Linked DNA regions of Stegostoma tigrinum. The protein of the gene in region 2 purifies or fractionates together with the protein of the main gene of each other region. This does not show direct contact. Links are inferred from orthologs where the notes say so. Each region holds a gene or a part of one and is shown on either strand. Other genes may lie near its edges.

Region 1 (10,502 bases), on a different chromosome or scaffold from region 2:
GTGGCTCCTCTGCTCACCTTTCTTTCTCTCTTTGCTGCAGTTTCTCTTCCCCTCCACCAACTTTTAACCTTCTAAACTACCCTACCTGGAGGGGGGGGGGGGGGGGGAGTACAGAACAGGGAGTGAATTGCAGCCAGAGCCCGGAGCAGAGGGAGAGAGCATGCAGGCCGAGTCCTGGACAGAGCAGGAGCACAGCAGTCGTCAGCCGGAGTCCAGAGGGCAAGCTCAGGCCAGCCAAGGAACGAATCCTGGAGCACAGTCCTGGGCAGAGGCCAGTGCGTGGAGACAACGAGGCCTCGAGTTAAGAAGCCCAGCAGACACAGACTCAGTGGAAAAGGACTATAATGTGTACTTTACAGATACTTATCATCATCATTCTGGACTTTTTAAGGTTCTGAGGAAGGATCATCAGACCCAAAACGTTAAGTTTTTTCCTTCACAGATGCTGCCAGACCTGCTGAACTTTTCCATCAAGTTTGTTCTTGTTCCTGGACATTTTAAACTCTGTATTCACACGTTAGCCTATTTTTTCTACTACTTCAATTCTATAAGAACTCAAAAGTATCTGTACCTAGGTAACTTGTACCTAAGATGCTGCCGAGAGGCGACATTGCAAACTTTTTACACACACGAGTACATGTGACAATGAAAGCTATTCTAAATTAAATGAAAATTCCTAGGGATGGATCAACAATTGTAGATGGTGCCTAAACCAATTCCCTCATTTACAGACTACATTAAGTTAAAAATGCCCTTTAAAAGTTATTTTAGAAACCAAGATTTAAAAATACTAGTGCCCAGGTGATACCAAAATAGAACAAACAATCTTCGGTTAGTGTAAAATGTTTCAGTTAGCAAACAGTATTAAATGGTTAGATTTGTGTAAATTTGCAGAAAAAGGAGACCGGAAGACTTGGGTTGTCAAGAGAGGCTGGATGGTCTGGGACTTTTTTCCCCTGGATGCTGACGGGTGACCTTATAATGTCTTATAAAATGAGGCATAGACAAGGTGAATAGCAAAGGTGTTAAGTTTTGGCAAAGATCTGTAGCTCAGGTTGAGGTTGTTGACTTGCTCGCTGAGCTGGCTTATTGTTGTTCAAATGTTTCATCACCGTACTAGGTGACATCATCAGTGGTGCCTCCGATGAAGCAATGTTAATTTACTCCACTTGGAATTTATACTGTACGGTCTGTAATGGTGAGTAGTGTCATTTCCAGTTTCGATCTGTATGGGTTTTTATATGGGGTCCAATTCTATATGTTTGATGATTGAAGTGTGGCTGGAGAACCATGCCTCGAGGAAATTGCATGCGTGTCTGTGTTTGGCTTGGGCTACTATGGTTACTTTGTCCCAGTTAAATTGATGGCATTCATTGTCTGAATGTACCTATATTAAGGAGAGTTTGTTGTGCTGCTGGCAGACATTCATGTATTCTGATGGCTAGTTTCCTTCCTGCCTGTCCGATGTAATGTTTGTGATGGTCATCGCATGGTATTTTGTAAACCACATTTATTCTGCACATTGTGGAAATGGGATCTTTAATCCTTGTTAAGTGTTTGTCGTTGAGTGGCTGTGGGCTTGTGAGTCACCGTGATTCATAGTGGTCTTAGGAGTCTTGTTATCAGTTCTGATATGTTCCTGATGTAGGTAAGTGTGATAAATGTGTTAGGTCATACTGTGTCCTCCTGTTGTCTGTTTTGTAGGAATCTGTGGATGAAGTTGTGGGTATATTCGTTTAAAGCGAGGATCTTGTGCAGGTGTTCTTCCTCTTTCCTGAGTTGCTCTGGAGTGTTGCAGTGTGTCTTGGCCTTTTTAAATAGTGTCCTAATGCAGCTTTGTTTGTGGACGTTGGGATCCAACCCGGAGAAACAGGGAATGACTCTTCTTCAGAATTACATATCCCTTTGGCTGTCCACACCAAGCAGGATGCCAGATGTGTCCAACTAGCCTCTGCTTACAAAACTGAAAACACTTTGGCCAACAGATGACCGTGACTGAATAAAGTTTGGTAAATAATCCTGAGTGCAAAAAATTACACTGACATCCATTCTAAGATTGTTTTAACGTGCAAAACAATTAAGATGATTTCTTCCTCCAATCATAATACAGCATTACATAGACCAGTGTTCCAGTTTTATAAAACATTTTGTACTTAATGCATGACCACCATATGTCCTAAACACTTTACAGTCAATGAGTACTTTGGTTAGTCATCATCATAATAAGGTTACAGGCTTGCACGCCATTGTCGAAGAAGCCTTGGTGAGTTGTTGCAATGCATCTTGTAGCTGGTACATATATTTGCCAATTTGGAAATTTTCCAAACAAACTTGCCAATTTATCAATGAAGTAGAAAGAGAATGGTGACGATATTAGATTTAGGGGCGGCACGGTGGCTCAGTGGTGAGCACTGGTCTCACAGTGCCAGGGACCCGGGTTCAATTTTGGATGACTGTCTGTGTGGAGTTTGCACATTCTCCCCATGTCTGCGTGGGTTTCCTCCGGGTGCTCCAGTTTCCTCCCACGGTCCAAAGATGTGCAGGCTAGGTGGATAGGCCACGCTAAATTGCCCATAGTCTTCAGGGGTGTGTGGGATGCTTCAAGGGTCGGTGTGGGCTTGTTGGGCCGAAGGGCCTGTTTCCACAGGCAGGGAATCTAATCTAATCTAATCTTCCAATCAAGTAGGCTATTTCTTTCCCGGATGGTGTCAAACTTCCTGAGTGTCACTGGAACTGCAATCATCCAAACAACTGAGTTACATTCGTGACTTGTGCCTTACAGGAGGGTGGGAGTGATAACTTTCTACAGAATTCCCAGCCTCTGACCAGCACTTTTAGCCATGGTATTTATAATCACTGGTTTAGTTCCGTTTCTAGACAATGGCAACCCCAAGGATGTTGATATTGGGATATTCTGCGATGGCGACGCCACGGAATTTCGAGGAAAAATTATTGGATTCGCTCTTTTTGAAAATGGACAATGACTGTCGCATGTGGCACAAACGTTCCTGGTCACTTTTCAGGCTCAGCCCTAAATTCAGAACTCCAAAGATGTGCAGGTTAGGTGGACTGATAATACTAAAGTTGCCTCGGAACGTCCAAGGTAATGCAGAAGGAAAGATCAGCCACGGCGCGGTTACGGTAATAAACTGGAAATGCGTGGGACGTTCTGCGAGAGGGTGGGCGAAGACTAGATGGGCCGAAAGGCCTTTATATGCGCTGTAGAGACTACGAATTCGAGACAGTGGCCTCAAAGTTATGCACAACTGAACCACAGCATTCTCACGTTGTGGTCCAAGACAACGCCTTCGTTCCACACAACTTTTTTTTTGAACTGCCCATTAACTTTTAAAACTAACTGTCTTGTACCTCCGTTGTCCCCAACATGTCCTCCCACCCACAGTAGCGTTACTTTACCTTTTCCTCGTTGCAGATCCTGGTTTCTGCTTGGACCTGTTGGCGGTGCAGAAGTCCGAGCTGACCCACTTCATCCTTGTGGCCCTCTAACTGGCTCTGCAGTTGCAGCTGGAGTTGGTGCTTCTGCAGCTCCGCGGTGCTGAGGTCGACAGCCGCGCGCCGGACCTTGGCGTCGAGCGCGGCCACCCGCGCCTGCAGCTCGGCGCTGCGCGAGCTCGACACCCAGTAGCTGAGCGCGAGGAAGGCCAGGCACGCGCCCAGCGCCAACAGCAGGAAGAACAACGGCGGGGAGCGCGCGCCGCGCCGCCCGCTCCCGAGGCCCAGCATCATGATAACAGCCGGTGGCGGAATGCACCGGGAGAAGGGAGACGGTTCAAACCACGCTATTGGGACGCTCTTCGGTCAATGTAGTCTTTCGAAAAAAAAGTACTGCCCGACGGAGCGAACCGTCAACGAGCTCTGTCGTTCGTCACAGAAAAGCGGCGAGGGCCTGTTCAGGCCGGAAAACGCATAAAAGTTCGGAAACCGAGCAGGACGCCGATTGTGAAATCGGAGCTGAAGCCAGGCACCTGCCACCTCATGGCTCCACCCTCACTGCCGTCATCTCCCCGACACCCCGTTCAGGATGGTGACTGCCGACCTCCGAAAGGCGGCTCCCAGCGACGGCTAATCTATCCGCTAATGGAAAGTTACAACATCACCACAAAACATTACAAAACCAACGACGGAATGCCTTCTAATGCTCTTTTGCCTCCAACATCTCCACATCAAATCCACCAAATCATCCCTCCCTCATTATTAACTCTGTGCCATGGTAGGAAACTGTTGGTTTCAAAATACCCAGGCCGTTTGCAGGAAGGTTGGCTAATCATTTTGCGTGGGAATGGGGATTCGGAGGGAAGGTATGGGAAACATTTCAACGTAACAGTAATAATAGGGACTGCAGATGCTGGAGAGTCTGAGATAATAACGTGTGGAGCTGGATGAACACAGGCCAAGCAGCATCTTAGGAGCACAAAAGCTGACGTTACAGGCCGAGACCCTTCATTTGAAAAACCTTTTCTGATGAAGGGTCTAGGCCCGAAACATCAGCCTTTGAGCTCCTAAGATGCTGCTTGGCCTGCTGTGTTCATCCAGTTCCACACTTGTTATCTAATATTTCAACGTATCTCTTTCTCAGGGTCTAGTCAGCAAATTTTATAGAGATAATGGTTGCCACAACTGGAAACATAGATTTTGTCAAAAATTGAATTCAAAAGGAATAAATTAATCTTGTAAATTAATAATTAATAGAAATTAACAATTAAAATGGGACAAACAACAAAGCTTAATCACAAGGCCTTTTCAATTAAGAACCTCATGGGTGCCATGTTCAAAGATGTCATGGGCATTTTGAAGGGACAGCATGAACAGTCAGAATTCATTGTCCATGTTGGGACCAGTGACATAGGAGAAATAGAAAGAACCAACCCCAATTCATGATCACTAGAGAAGGGATGATAACAGGGACCGAGCTAAGGAAATGGTTTAATTAATACTGACCTTGGTGAAAGGCATTTGGAGCTGGCTACGGCAGAATTCGCATGAAAGTGAGGGTCAGAAATGAGTTGACTTACAGCCTGGGGTTTTTCTTCTTACTGTCTGACTGACTCTGCCTCCTTTAACTACAGGAAAATAATCCATGGGGCTTTGAGCTTCAAAAATGATCACCAGTACTATTACACCACCAGCAAACTTTGTGCATTGAATTGGAAGTGACAGTTTGTATCTCCTTGAAGAGATATAAATGCAGTTTGGTAAAAGGCAATCACTGCCCAACTCCGGTGGCATAGTTACCCCTCTGCCATCCGACTGTCTCATTGCCTTTTCCGTGTGGTGCGATTCTCATCTCCCTCCCAGGCTGGAGTCTCCCTGAAAGTTTCCTAGTCCCTTACCCAGCCTGCAGACTCAGCGTTCTGGCCCTCAGCATGGGGCTGCTCGCTACTCCTCCAATCACACACTGGTTTTCTCACGAATTTGCTGCAGGTCGACTTACTGATAAATCTGCCACTACTCTGGTGAGCAATAAATCCTTGCAAAGTTTTTCACCTGTATTTGCATCAAATAGAACATAAAACAAACACATTGAAAATTTAAAATTTCGCCTTAATTTTTCACCTGGCTTATGATCATCCCCATGTAAGGTTAAGTCATTATTAATGATGGCAACCCCATGAATGAACTGTAAATTTGTCTACCATGAGTGTGTGTGAAATGGTGTGCAGGAGTGCCTCTGGCTGAAATATACAAACATTGCGTTCTGGAAATTCAGAGCAGCTGGGAGCACCAGGGCGCATTCACGAAACTGTGGATCAAGGATAATACATTTCACAATGTGGTCATCCCATAGCTTAAGAAAGTTCAGGTCGAGAATGAATCAGTAACCACCAAGCAAAAAAAGGGAACCAAGACTGTATTGAGAGAAGTCCTCACATGCTTATCATTTGCAAACTGTTTTTTGCCCTTGAAAATGGTCAGAGAAAATGGTAATGCTGCTGGACCTAAGAACAATAAATATCAAGGGCAATTCCTTAGTGAGGGCAGTGGACAAGCACTTTTGCAGCTGTAGACATTACTCCAGGATAGTATGTTACCTCATGGGTGCCATGTTCAAAGATGTCATGGGCGTTTTGAAGGGACAGCATGAACAGTCAGAATTCATTGTCCATGTTGGGACCAGTGACATAGGAAGAAAAAGAAATTAGGTCTTACACATGGACATTGGGAAAGCAGAACTTCAAAGGAAATAATTTTCAGATTACTCTTGGCATTACCCAAGCGTGAGTATGTGTATAGAAGAGTAGAGCAGATGAATATGGGTCTTAAGGGATAGTGAGAAGGGAAAATGTCCATGACCTGAAGCATTGGGACCTGTTTCTGGTGGAGATGGGAACAGTACAAGTTGGCAAAGTTAAATCTGAATTGGAATAGGTCCATCCAAGTGGGGAGAATCATAAAACCCCTACAGTGTAGAAACAGGGCCTTCAGCCTTACAAGTCGACACCGACCCTTGGAGCATCCCACCCAGACCTATCCCCCTATAACCCACCTAATCTACAGACTCTTGAACACTACAGGCAATTTAGCTTAGCCAATCCACCTAACCTGCACATCTTTGGACTGCGGGAGGAAACAAGAGTACCCGGAGGAAACCCACACAGACGTGGGGAGAATGTGCAAACTCCACACAGACAGTCGTCCAAAATTGAACTCGGGTCCCTGGCGCTGTGAGGCAGCAGTGCTAACCACCCTAATTCTGTTGCATTGGATTTAAACTAGCTTGACAGGTGACAAGTAGGATGGAGGGGAGAAAGCTAAGATAGAAGTTTAAGTTAAATCATGTGAAACTGGAAGGCGGATGAAATATAGGATACATAAGTTCGATATATTTTAAGGTAAGGAGTCTGAAGAAAAAATAGATGAACTGAGGGCGCTGAAAGTCAACTCATTTTCAACGCTCACATTCATGTGAACTCTGCCGTAGCCAGCTCCAAATGCCTTTCACCAAGGTCAGTATTGGTTAAACCCTCTCCTCAGCTTGGTTACCATCTGAAAAGATACATGAATGGGAACAGTTTAGGTGAATATGGGCCAAATGCTGGCAAATGGGACTAGATCAGTTGAGGATATTGGTCAGCATTAACAAGTTGTACCAAAGGGTCTGTTTCAATGCTGTATAACTCTATGATGAGTGTAATGCAGATGATACGGTCTACAAGACTTTAATAAGGCTTTTGATAAAGTTCTTCATGGCAGACTAGTCAAGGAAAGTCAGAGCCCATGGAATCCAAGGCAAAGTTACACATGGAGTCCAAAAATTGGATGAGGCAGAAACCAAGGTGATGGTAGAGGGATGTTTCTGCGATGAGTGATATGCTATAGTGCTCCATGCTGGGGCTGTTACTGTTTGTTGAGGACATTAAAGATTTGAACTTAATTGTAGGGGGTAAATCAACAGTGAGAAGGTTTGCCTTAAACCACTGGAAATCTCAACAACTGGTCAACTGGATGGGGCTATAACAAATGGAATTATCTTTAAAAGAAGTGAGGTAATGCACTTGGGGAGATCTCACAAGACAAAGGATTACACAATGAATAATAGGTATCTAGAAAGTACTGAACATCAGAGGGACCTTGATGAGCATATCCACAGATCCATGAAGGCAATGAGGCAGGTAGATAAGGTAATTGAGAAGGCATTTGGGATATGTGCCTTTATTGACCAAGGCACTGAATTCAAAAGTAGGAAGGTCATGCTGAATAAAATATTGGTTAAACAACAATTAGAGTAAGTTTTGGTGACCACATCATAGAAAGACTGCGATTACACCAGAGATGGTGCAGAGAAGATTTACCATGGTTCACAGTGCCTGGGGTACAGCGTGTAAGCCACACAAAAAAAACAGATAAACTGTTTATTTTGCCTTGGAACAACAAAGGTTGAATAGGCCCCTGAGAGATGGTTAAGGTTGTGAGGGGCATTGATAGGAAGGCATTCTTTCTGTTAGTAGAGGGATCAATAATGGGGGAATGGTGGGGAGGATGGCATGGATTTTGGCTAAGACAGAAGGCTAAGAAGAGAGTTGAGAATTTTTTTCACTCATAGGGTAGTGTAAGTCTGGAACTCATAGCCAGAAAATGTGGTTGAGTTAAAAGCTGTAACATTTAAGCAATATTTACATATTCACTCATGTTGCCGTAGCCTCCAGGACTATTGGTCAAAAGTTGGAAAATAATTTAATGTCAGATCTTTGTGGTGGGGTGGTCAGATGGCCTATTTTGGTGCCATAGTAGTCTATGAGCCTATAGAGCAGACATTCGAACATATTCATTTCTTTTTATTCACTGGTGTAACATGGGCATCACTGGCTGGGTTAGCATTTGCTGCCTCTTACGAGTTGCCCTTGAGAAGTCCGTCAGATATAGGTACAACTACAATGCCATTAGAGAGGCACTTCCAGGATTTTGACCCAGCAACAGCAGAAGAACAGCAATATATTTCCAAGAGAGGATGGTGAGTGGCTCAGAGCAGAAGTTTCAGGTGGTGATGTTCCTATGTGTCTGCTGTCCCTGTCCTTCTAGATGGCAGTGGTTGTGGTTTTAGAAAGTGCTGTCTAAATATCTTTGGTGAATTTCTGCAGTGCATTTTTTCAATGGCGCACACTGCTAATACTGAGCATTGTTGATGGGGAAGTGGGTACTTATAGATGTGTTGCCAGTCAACTGGCTGCTTTGTCCTGGATGCTTTTTGAGTATTCAAGCTGCACTCATCCAGGCAAGTGGGGAGTATTCCTTCACACTCCTGTCTTAAACCTTGTATATGGTTTGAGGAGTTAATAGGTGAGTTGCTCACTGTGTACGACCTGTTCTTGTAGCCACTGTATTAACTATGTTATTGGTCTACTCTCAATCATCACTAAAGTGATGGATGATGATATCAACAGTGCTATCAAGCAGAACCTGCTCAGCAATAACCTGCTCAGTGATGCCCAGTTTGGGTTCTGCCAGGACCACTCAGATCCTGACCACATTATAGCTTTGGTCCAAAAATGGAAAAAGGAGTTAAATTCCAGAGGTGAGGTGAGAGTGACAGCCCTTGATTTCAAGGGTGCATTTGACTGGGTATGGCATCAAGGAACCCTAGCAAAACTGGAATCAATGGGTATCAAGGCAAACTCTCCAGTGGTTAGAGTCAACCTGACGCATAGGAAGATGGCTGTGGTTGTTGAAGGTCAATCATTTCAGCTCCAGGACATCTCTGCAGGAGTTCCACAGGGTAGTGTCCTCAGTCCAACAATCTCCAGCTGCTTCATCAATGATCTTCCCTCCATCATAAGGTCAGTAGTGGGGATATTCACCAATGATTGCACAATGTTCAGCACAACTTACAACTCTTCAGATACTGAAGCAGTTCATGTTCAAATGCAACAAGATCTGGACAATATCCAGCTTATGCTGACAAATAGCAAGTAACATTCACACCACACAGATGCCAGGCTATGACCATCACTAATAAGATACAATCTAACCACCACACCTTGGCATTCAGTAGTGTTACCATCACTGAATTTCCAATTATCAACATCCTGGGGGGGAACCATTGACAAGAAATTCAGCTGGAGTTACCACTTAAACACAATGGCTACAAGAGAAGGTCAGAGGCGAGGAATACTGCAACGAGTAACTCACCTCTTGACTTCCCAAAGTCTGTCCGCCACCTACAAGGCACAAGTCAGGAGTGTGATGGAATACTCACCACTTGCCTGGATGCGTACAGCCCCAACAACACTTAAGAAGCTTGACACCATCCAGGATAAAGCAGCCTGCATATTTGGCATTAGATGCACAAGTATCAACACCCTCCACCACTGACACTCAGTGGCACCGATGTGTATTATTTATCTGCAAGATGCACTGCAGAAATTGAGCAAAGATCCTCAGACAGTGCCTTCCAAACCCATGACCACTTACATCTAGAAAGACAAGGGCAGTAGATATATGGGAACACTACCACCTTCAAGTTGCCTTCCAAGCTGCTCACCATCCTGACTTGGAAATATATCACTGTTCGTTCGCTGACACTGGGTCAAAATGCTGGAATTCCCTCCCTAATGGCAGGTGGCTTGCAATGGTTCAAGAAGGCAGTTCACCACCACTTTCTCAAGGGCAACAGGGATGGGCATGAAATGTTGGCCAGTCAGCAACGCCGATGTCCCGTAGATTAATAATAATAAAAAATACTGGTAAGTCCAGTTGAGTTTCTGGTCAATGGTAACACCTAGGATGTTGATAGTAGTGGATTTAATGTTGGTGATGCCATTGAATATGGCACAAATGTTAGTTGATTGGTTGTCGATTTGGCACCGTTAGCTTATAACAACACAATCCTCTCCTCAAAATAGTGGTCATAAGCAGTTTTCTATTTTGGGCTTGTCTGTCCAAAATTGATGTTAGACCTAAATAATGCAAAATAAAAAATAAAAAAAAGATAAGTCCAGAAAAGGGGAAAAACAAAAATTTCATCAGTGCCAAAGGTTTACTAATAT
Region 2 (10,805 bases):
GCTTTGTTTTCCCTCTTTTTCGCTAATTCAACTTAATTTACCTCCCTTTCAGTGAACATTTCACAATCCTTAAAGTAAATTGATCAATATCAAATGACAACATGTGGTTAAAAACATCTAACGAAGTGAGTGGTTAGGGTTTGGAACGTCCTGTCTGAGAATGTGGGTGGAGGCAGGTTCAACAGAGGCTTTCAAAAGGGAACCAAATTATTATCTGAAGAAAAATTAAACGCAGAGCTTTGGAAAAATCATTAGAATAGGTAATACTCTTTGAAGGTGGCAAAAAAAGACATGTTGAATGACCTCATTCTGTGCTGTAACTGTTCTATGACTAAATAGAAGTGCCATGTCTCCCATTACTCAATATGGCCTGTTGTCCTTCTGAATTTGTACCTCAAGTAACTTTGTGGGCAAAGGATTGAAACTCTGCACATGCAATTATCAATCTAAAAAGAGGTAACATGGTCCTCTAAAAGCTTGTCCAATGACATCTGTCAAATAATTTCAACTCACAGTATGCAATGAATTGATCTGATTTTGTTGAGGTTCAGCTATTGTCCTGTCTGTGTATTAAGGGTAAGGAAATATTACCTCAGGAGATGTTTTTCTCATTCCCTGAGATTAATTTCAGTAACTCCTGATAGAAAATGCATGGATGTATGCCATTAGCTGAGGTAAGTGTAAAACTTGTATTTGATATTTTATATTGAGACAGAATCCCTTGATGTCGACTAGTGAAGAATGTCCTGTTGTATCAGTGACTCAACAACTTCAGAGAAGCAGGAACACTGACGTTTTGGGTCGAGGCCCTTATTCTGAAATGGGGGAGGGGAAGGGAATTCTGAAATAAATAGGGAGAGAGAGGAACACGGATAGAAGATGGATAAAGGAGAAGATAGGGTGAGAGGGGACAGACAGGTCAAAGAGGCAGGGTTAGAGCCATGAAGGTGAATGTAGGTGGGGAGTTAGGGAGCCAATAGGTCAGTCCAGGGAGGACGGACAGGTCAAGGAGGCGGGATGAGGATAGTGGGTAGGAGATGGGGGTGGGGCTTGAGGCGGAAGGAATGGTTAGTGAGCCGGAGACTAGCTGGGCTGGTTTTGGGATGTAGTCAGGGGAGGGGAGATTTTGAAGCCTGTGAAGTCCACATTGATATCTTTGGGCTGCAGGGTTCCCAAGTGAAATATGAGATGCTGTTCCTGCATCTTTCTTTTGGCATCATTGTGGCAATGCAGGAAACCAAGGATGGCCATGTCATCTGAGGAGTTGGGGTGGGTGGAGATATTGAAAGCCATTTCAATAAGGGTTTGAAATGGTTTCATGTCAGTGGATAAGGAGCAGGAAGACAGACAAGTTGGAGGCAGAGAGATTTTGAAGCTGGTGAAGCCAGTATTCAGTCCATTAGGCTGTAAGCTCCCAAGGTGAAATATGATGCGCTGTTCCTACAGTTTATGTCTGGTGTCACTCTGACAGTGTGGAGGCCAAGGATGATGGACATGTCACCAGGGAAGTGGGAGAGGGGAGTTAAAGTGGATGGCAACTGGCAGGTCCAGTTGATTGGTGTGTGCAGAGCACAGATGCTCCACAAACCAATCCCCAAGTCTGCATTTGGTCTTCCCAATATAGAGGAGACCACGTCAGGAGCAACAGATACGGTGGCTGAGTTAGATGAAGTGCAAGTGAGTCGCTGCCAGCTTTGGAAGGATTGTTTGTGTCCTTGGATGGAGGTGAGAGGGGACATGAGGGGGCAGGTGTACTCTCTTATGTTTGCAAGGAAAGGTACCAAGTGTAGTGGAGGGGTTGGTGCCTCCAAAAGCAAAGGCTATCTCCCTTGGCTTTACTGAAGCATGTTAACAACATGAAAGCTTCCTCGTTTACGTCTGCACTAAACAGAAGGCAAAATAGAGATAGTATGAACCTGACATCTCTGATTGAAGGGGCAAAACACAAAGAGGCAAAGCAAGACAATGCAAGGCAGGAATGTTCTGTACACTCAGCTCAGCTCAGTATGACACTGAACAAAGGACCTTGAAATGCAGCCTGGTCCAGTCGCTGAACTAGTTGCATTAGAGCATTAGAGCACAGTGTCTTTGCTGATGCATTCCAAAGTGCAAAAACATCCTGTAAGTGTGTTGGAGATCTGCCATGAGGCTTGTTAGTGAATGGAATCTAACACATGCAGATGTCTGCTGGGATGCATGTGCTAGGGTCCATGGAATATTTCCTGAGACATTGTTGCCCAGTAACCAACATTGAAGTCCTTTGAAGCAAGTAGCAAGCTGAATTTGTCTGGTATCCATTATAGTTCTCAAGTTACGTTTTCTCAATGTTGAGCTTTTTAAGTGAGTTTAGTGACACAAAGTGAAATATGGAGTTGGGCCATCAACAGTGCATTTAACAAACAACAATCCTGCTGCATTGTTATTGGTCAAGTCAATTTTCTCTGTATAACTAATTGGCAACCTGTTGGTGAATAAGAAGCTTACTCTGCTGCTCAGCAAAACATAAAAAGATGGAATGAGTTCTCCTGATGTTGAATTCAATAATGCTGGACTTTTCATCTGATTCTGCCACAAACCACATCATAGCACATTCACTCAGACCTCCATAAGATTCCATCTAGTATGTTGGAATTATTAGGAATTATTGGGATCTGGGGAGCATAATTTGAAATGGAACATGTACAGAAGAACAAAAGGTACTAGGAAGAATCGTGATTCAGATTTGAAAGACTGTAAAAGTGGCAATGAATGATGTGTGGGAAATGCGGGGGAGCAGAAAAGATACTGTCAGAATGTGAACGATCCACATATGATCTTCACTAGAAGCAATGTGGAAAGGCAACTGAGCAGAGAAGGTAGAAGCATAGCCCTTCCATCATCCCAGTCCAAACCTATAATTCAAATTATATGTAGAATTCATGCTTTAGTTGCAAACTAATGGTTTATACGTATCTGTCATTGAAATTTTAGTGTAAAAGTAGTGTATATATATATTTTATACGAGCAAGAAATTGAACACTCGAATGAATAAAGAGAGATATGTATGTAGAGATACACATATACTACAGATACTGATGTTATACGCAACAGCTACATCTGAAGGCTTCATGTGTGTAATTAGTTCAAAGCAGAGTTCAGTACGCGAAACAGCTGCTAGTTTAGTCCTTGGAGAGCTAAACAAAATCAATCTTCAAACAGGAGAAACAGGCTCTTCCTAGGAAGGCGAGATGCAGTTCAGTTGAGAAAAATGTCAAATTTACATTGACTGTTGAGAATAGTATAGGGACAGGTTGTTAAACTCCTTAGGAGACTCACAGCACTCATCTTATTCACTCTGCATGCATTGCAGTATCCAACCAAACACACACCCGACTCCAAAACATTCATTAACCCTTAAATGATTCCAAACTAAATCGAACATCTTCTCACCATCCGTGAATACTACGGCAGGAGTGGCCCCGTCTTTAACAATTGTTTGTCTTGATGGCCCGTTCGTCTCGCCTTTCAGCACCAGGGACAGCGCACGGCCCTTGGGGAGAAAGTGGGCGGATTCGGCGGTTTCAGGGTGAACCAGGGATCAGCCAATGAATTGTGTGCCGAATATTCGCAGTCTTTTTCACCCTAACACCGCTCCTTGAACAGGTGGAGAGAAACTGCTGGACAGTCTAAACACCTCCGAAAGTCCTCACCTCTGAAGAGAGACTGATTGGGGACTCCTTCGTCTGAATGGAAGTGCGTGCAGGAGGGATCACTTCAGCTTCTCTACTTCCTTACGAGTGAGAGGACAGATATGTTGCTTTTTCTAATGTTACTGCAAACTTGAGCAATATCACGTCCGCCTCGTGAATTACGTACTTCAGATATTGTGATCTGCTTTTCTAAAGAAATTAAATTCCAATTCTTTCTAATATTTGAAGGATGTTTTGCTAAAATATTGCTGAAAACTGCAATGTGGTTAGATAAAAGCATGACGACGTACTGTATGACTGAAGGGTTTGTTGCAGTGCTGTTCTGTTCATGCAGAGAAAATCTGCGTGATCAATAACAAGGCGCCAGGTACATGCATCTGGGGCTGCGTTTCCCTTAACAATAAACGGCTTCTAATAAATAACACATCTCTGCTCTACAATAACAAGATTTAATAAAAGAATAAATTGACTCTGCTCGGCTCATCATCCGCGGATGGAACAAAAACAAAGCATAATGATAACGATTTTAAAAAGATACACTCACCACCCCCCCAAAAGATTAGTCAAGGATTGTTTCAGGTAAAAACACACATCTTTGCACTGCTTCAGGGTCGCTTTGATGCTGGTTTTATTGAAGGAGGGCGATGCGATCTGGCGAACACGCTGAATTATTCAGAATCAGAGATCACGTGGGTCCTGGCCAATTCATTATTTAAATACCGGCTCCAGCAGCAGCTCTGCGTCAAAGAGCGACTACCCAACGTATTAGGGTTACGGAAGGAGACACAGACTGTCTGACCAGCGCCCCCTCGACTCCAACACCTTCACCCCCCCCTGCTCTCACCCAACCCCCGCCTCCCCCCCACAACAGCAATTCGGGGTTAAAGCACGCTCAATGCGCGCATTCAACTGCGAACATTCCCTTGGATTTTACCTGCTTTTTTTGTTCAATTTATAGGCGACTCACAGCAAATAGTAAACAATTGGTGACATCAGTTGCTATTATATTACCTAATACTGAGCTAAGCCGGTGGAGTGAGAGAAGAAAGCGTCTATTTGTTTTTTATGTCTGTATGTTAGCGCGTGTGTGTTCTTGTACCTGTGAGCATATATCTTTTTGTTAAGTTTGGGTCTATTGTGCTCTTGTACAAATAATGGTTACCATTCGAGAACTTGCTATTTATTTTAATTATCTGGGATTTTTATCTGCTGATTCCCGTCTTAACATGGAGGCCAGCCAGGCTGTCTTTCTCCAGCTAGTCCATTTATCTGGCTAGTCGATTTCTCTGCATTTACCTATCACTGCTGCGAGACTTCCCAGAATGAAAATGACTGACTATTGGACAGCCATTAGGCCCGGCTCTGCTATCTCATACTGATCATTCAACTGAACCATGCCATGATGATCTTCCTACCACCCTTTCTAAATCTCCGTTACCTGCCTTTGAGATGACAGCTTATTAAATGTCTACAATAAGACTAAAAGGGTAGTTGACACAGAGAGCTAACACACAGATCCGGCAGGCAATTAGGAAGCCAAATGGAATGTTGGCCCTTATTTCATGGGGGTTGGAGTATAAACGTAGGGAAGACTTACTGCAGCTGTAAATGTATCAGTGAGACCATATCTAAAGCATTGTGTGGAAGCAGGTCGTTCAGCCCACTGAGTCCAAACCAACTGTATGAAGAGCATCCCACTCCTCTATCCTATCACCATACCCTGCATTCCCCATGGCTCATTCACCTAGCCTGCACATCCCAGGACACTATGAGCAAACCAGCATGATCAATCCACCTAACCTGCTCATTTTATACTGTGGGAGGAATCTGGAGCACCTGGAGACAACTCATGCAAACATAGGGAGAATGTGCAAACTCCACGCAGTCGCTCGAGGGTGGAATCAAACCTGGGTCCCTGCTCCTGTGGGGCAACAGTGCTAAATACTGAGCCACCATGCCACCTGTTTTGATCCCCTTATTTAAGAAAAGATATTATTTCATCAGAGTCTGTTCAAGTAATGTTCACTTGAATTCTCTCCAGAGTGGAGGGATTGCCTTATGAGTAAAGATTAACCAGATTGGGACACTACTGATTGGAATTTGGAAGAATGAGAGGTGTTCGCATCGAAACATAGGATTCTTAAGGAGCTTGACAGGGTAAATGCTGAGAGGATGTTTCCCCTCATGGGAGAATCCAGGATGAGAAAGCAAAATCTCAGAATAAAGGAGTGCCAATTTAAGACTGAGATGTGGAGGAATTTCTTCTCTCAAAGGGTTATGAGTCTTTGGAACCCGTTACCATAGAGAACTGTGAAGGCAGAGTCCTTGTGTACATTTCAGGTTGAGATAGATTCTTAATCAGTAAGAGCACCAAGAGTTATGGGAAAAGGTCAGGGAAGTGGGAGTGTGACCTGCCAAATCAGCCATGATTCTATTGAATGCCAAAGCAGGCTTGAGGGGCAGAATGGCCTACACTTGTTACCATTTCTTACAGTCTTATGGACTAAGACATGGGCGCAGAAGTAGGCCATTTAGAACATTGAGACTGCTCTACCATTCAATGAGATCATGGTTGCTCTAATAATCCTAAAATTCACTTTCCTGTCTTTCTCCCATAACCTCACCACTTGCTTTCCCACCTATATTCTGTCATGTATAAATTTGTCTTTGGTACATTCACTTTCCTCATCCAAATCAGTAATATATGTTGTAAATAATTATAGTCCTTGCATTGATGCCTGTAAAACCCTACATGCTACAGATTTCCATCCTGAAATTGCCCTGTTATTACAAATTCTATTCATTAGCCAATCCACTACACATGCTCGTATACTACAGTCAATACCATGGTTCTTATTTAGCAGCCTCATGTGTAGTACCTTGTCAACTGCGTTCTGAAAATCCAATTTTTTTACATACGCCACATCCCTTTATCTATCTTGCTTATTACCTTCTCAAATGACTCTAATAAATTTGTCAGGTATGGTTCCCCCATCATGAAGCCAAGCTGACTTTGTTTGATCATATACCATATTGTGTATTTATAAATGCTCTGCTGTTACATCTTTATAATAGACTCTAATATTATCCGAGTAACAGATGTTATCTGAGTGGCCTATTGGCACCTTTTTGTTTCCTTCCCTTTTCAAATAAAGGTGTTACGTTGGCAATTTTCCAATTCTCTGTGACTACCAATATCTAAGGAGTCTGTTGCCACCAGTGCATCCATTATCTCTATAGCTACGCCCTTTAATATCCTTAACATATACCATTAGGGGGGTTAATCAGTCTTTAGTCCATGCGTTTCCCAAGCATTTTTCTTTTGCAATAGTTATTACGGTTGGTTCTGATATAATGCGATAGTTCCATTCTCATGAGATCTCGTGTTATAAGAAAATCATGCAATAACCATGACATTTAAAGTGATGGGTATGGAATCACATTATAGCCAATACAGGTAGGGAAAATTCACATTTTATAAATAGCATTCTATAATTGTTCAATTGTGTTAAAACCAATTTACGATGAAGAACCAACTGTTATTTATTTTCTCTTCACTTTTTGTCCATTAGCTATTTCATAATTTTGTAATGTCATTTGTGTCTTGTACCATGAAGACTGCAAAATATTTATTCAACTTTTGTCACACTCCTCCTTGATTATTATTTCCCTGACCTTGTCTGTAAGGGGCCTATATTCATTTTGAATTCTCAATTCCTACTTATACATTTAAAGAAGCACTTACTGTTTAAATTGACATTTTTTTGCAAGTTTACCCTCAAAGTTTATCTTATCCATTTTCTTTTTGGCCGTCTTTTATTTGTTTTTAAATCTTTCCCAAAATCTCAGGTTTAGCACTAATCTTTGCCAAATTGTAGGAGTTTTTTTTGCTATCAATTTAATGCTATCCTAACTCCTCTGGTTAACCATGGTTGCTTTATTGCTTTCTAGAATCCTTCTTTCTCACAAAATTAAAGTTCATTATCTACACATATTTTCCTTTATTCCAAGCGCGTGTCAGTTCTTCAAAGAACATCAATAACATTAAACGTGATCTCCCTTTCACAAAATGCATGTTGACCCTGACAGATAACTTTGAATTTTCTAAGTGCCTTTCTATAACATCTTTAATAAAAACATTCAACATTTCCCTTCTGATTCTACTTTTGTCCTGTTGATAACTGTAACATTTCTTTATATTGCCATGAAATTACCTCAACAAAGTACAGATACCCCATCCATATGTTTCCTCATTATTTCCAGCTTTGTAACAACCTATAATGTTCAATTCCTGGCCCAGAACTTTCCATAGTTGTGTCTCAATATTTCTAACTGTGTTGAATCCCACCTCCCACCTCCAACAATCCCACCCCCCACCTAAGCATCATTGCTTCTAGCTTTTATTTTGTTATGAATGCTCTGTATTTCTGCATTGGCATTTTAACTCATTTTTACTAGCGTTTTCTCTCACCTGATGTTTCACCAACCTATAGACTCCTATTCTATAATTATTTATCCCCTTGGCATTAATGTCCTGTCTTACGTTTGTCTCTCCTACATCCATTTGCCCTGTTCTGAATAGATATAGGCTGCTTATCTTTCTTGTATGTTGGTCCTCCCATTTTATGAGCTTAAAGGCCTTGTTACTCCTTATTTACTCTTTTTGCAGCTGCTTCCCATTCTATTGATGCATACACTTCCTGTCCCAGAGTAGTACAAATGTCTCATGGCAGTGAACTTGCTCTTTAGCCATGTGTCAATTCTCCTGAACTGCTAAGTCCCATGCCAATTTGCACATAGCTTGGGAAATACTGAGAGCTTATAACCTTTAAGGCCCTGCTTTTTAATTTAGAACTTAACTCCTGATAGTCATTAAGTGGTGCCTGCTCCCTATTTCTATTTATATTGTTTGTTCTAACATTGACGACTAAACCTGGATTCACCCCTTCCCTGTAAAATTCCTCTAAAGGGAGCATGAGCTCTCCCTAATGTGGCACACACTCAGTAATGCACCATTTGGGATAGAAATTTTCACATATTGAAGTCAATACAAATCACTTACAGAGGGGGTAACTGTACAGAGTCATACCGTACATCTTCCTTTGACAATGAGCAGCACTTCCTTTGTTAGGTACTCCATCATCAACACCCTGGGAGCAGAAACTTCATTGGACAAGTTGCATAAATACTTTCTTTGCAAATGTAGTTTAGAGGTTGGAAATTCTACAGCAAATAACTCACTTTTTCTCACTCCAAAGCCATCTATGAGGCTCAATGTAGATTGTGATGGAATTCTTAGCATTTGCCTGGTTGAATGCAGATCCAAAAACATTCAAGACTTTCAAAGACATCCAGGACAAAGCACCTCTTTTGACTGGAATCTGATCATTTCCTTAAGCGTCCATTTCCTCCACAGCTTGCACACAATGGGAATTGTACGTGCCATCTCCAAGGTGCACTGCAGCAACTTACTAAGTCTCTTTTAAGACCATCTACCAACAACACAAACTCTACCAAATAGAAAGACAAGGGCAAACTATCCCGTGGAGAAGAAGCCATTTCTGAAAACTGTTATAACCCCATTTGGGAAAGTGTTCCAACTCTCAAGCCCCACCATTCCCAGTGACAAAGTTTCACACTGGAGCCTGACTTATCCAGTATTACCATCAGCTAGAACCATGGAACAATGATGACACTTCAAAAAATTGCGGTACTTAATTCCCCTTGCAGTAAATTGCTACCTTTCTTTAACATCAGATCAGCTCTTAACAATTTTTGCTACTGTAATGCAAACAATTTGCACACTAAAATATCCCATTAACAGCAAAGTGAGATGGACTGAATTATTTGTTTTACTTTTTAATTGAGGATTGAAGTATTTTTCAGGATAGCAAGGAGATCGTTCCTGATGTTCAATTAGGCAGCAAAAAAAAATGCTTTCAGAGATTTATACGCACGTTATTTGTAAATCTGTAGTTTAGCACAAACACCACTATGTTCCACATAACACTGTGGGACCTTTATTGTCAGATGGGACCTTGATACACCATCATCTTAAAAGCAATAAAGTCACTAATAGTCCTACCAGACCAAACAGCTGCTCTCTCATTCAAGAGACAACTGGGAATGATTTAGCCTGGAGTCAAGGTGAGAGGCTGTAAAAGAGAGTCCCTTAACCTCAGCTGGTCCAGGAACTGAACCCATGCTTTTTACATTACTGACCACAGCACAGTATTAGGTGAGTAAGTCTTGAATTTAATTACTTTTATGAAACATCTCCATGACAAGTGAGATTTAAACAGACGTTCTGATCAAGAGGGTGGAACATTAAAACTACACTCCATGACAACCTACCCCCAGCCTAGGCTGAATGCTTAAATCTTTAGAGCACGTCTTGACCCCACAGCTTTCCAAATCACCAGGAAGCATGCTAGCCATTGAACCAGGGCTGTCAACTGTTTCAAGCAGCATGTTATCAATGAACAAGCCAAATTTGCAATGAAGGAGGGTGCTGTTGTTGAAGCTGCCAATATTTAAACAAAAATGTTAATTAACAATCATCATTGCTAAATTGCCAAAGGCTCCTCGCTGAGTTGAAGGAGATAGTGGAGGACAATAATGTCATAATGACTGACAACTTAGACTACTTACTGCAACTGATGAAATGAGTACAAGAGCACTTAAACAAATGAAAATTGAAATCACTAGTGCCGTGATAGAGATGCTTAGAAGGCACTTCTTGATATTTCTTTTTCTCCTCAGCAATTAATCTATTGAATCTCTTAAATTACTTTGCCCAAAATTGGGAATCAAAATGACAGAGAATGTCGGTGGTGAAGTTACCTACAAGACAAATATCTCCTTTCCACATCACTAAACATTGATTATATCTGTCTTTCAAACAATTATTTCTCCAGTTGTCACTGGCAATAATTGTCCTGTTTCTAGTTGCCCTAGAAAGGTCGTACTGGACATTTTCGCTGAGTACAGTGATGAACCAGAGGGACTTACTGAATCAGTGATAATGGGAACTGCAGATGCTGGAAAATCCAAGATAATAAAATGTGAGGCTGGATGAACACAGCAGGCCCAGCAGCATCTCAGGAGCACAAAAGC

The links.
Region 1: the proteins of probable cationic amino acid transporter (region 2) and golm1 purify together in Homo sapiens (co-immunoprecipitation; 3 studies listed by BioGRID and IntAct, with this or other methods). This does not show direct contact. The link is inferred for Stegostoma tigrinum from reciprocal best matches to the Homo sapiens genes SLC7A14 and GOLM1.

The regions. Positions count from the first base shown.
Region 1 is NC_081356.1:58,787,850-58,798,351, reverse strand, and holds the start of golm1 (Golgi membrane protein 1), read right to left. Parts: upstream 4,128-10,502; 5' UTR 3,748-4,127; coding exon 3,418-3,747; intron 1-3,417.
Region 2 is NC_081367.1:56,805,390-56,816,194, forward strand, and holds the start of probable cationic amino acid transporter, read right to left. Parts: upstream 4,425-10,805; 5' UTR 4,234-4,424; intron 3,799-4,233; exon of another isoform or gene 3,430-3,798; intron 1-3,429. UniProt on the Homo sapiens protein: Imports 4-aminobutanoate (GABA) into lysosomes. May act as a GABA sensor that regulates mTORC2-dependent INS signaling and gluconeogenesis. The transport mechanism and substrate selectivity remain to be elucidated.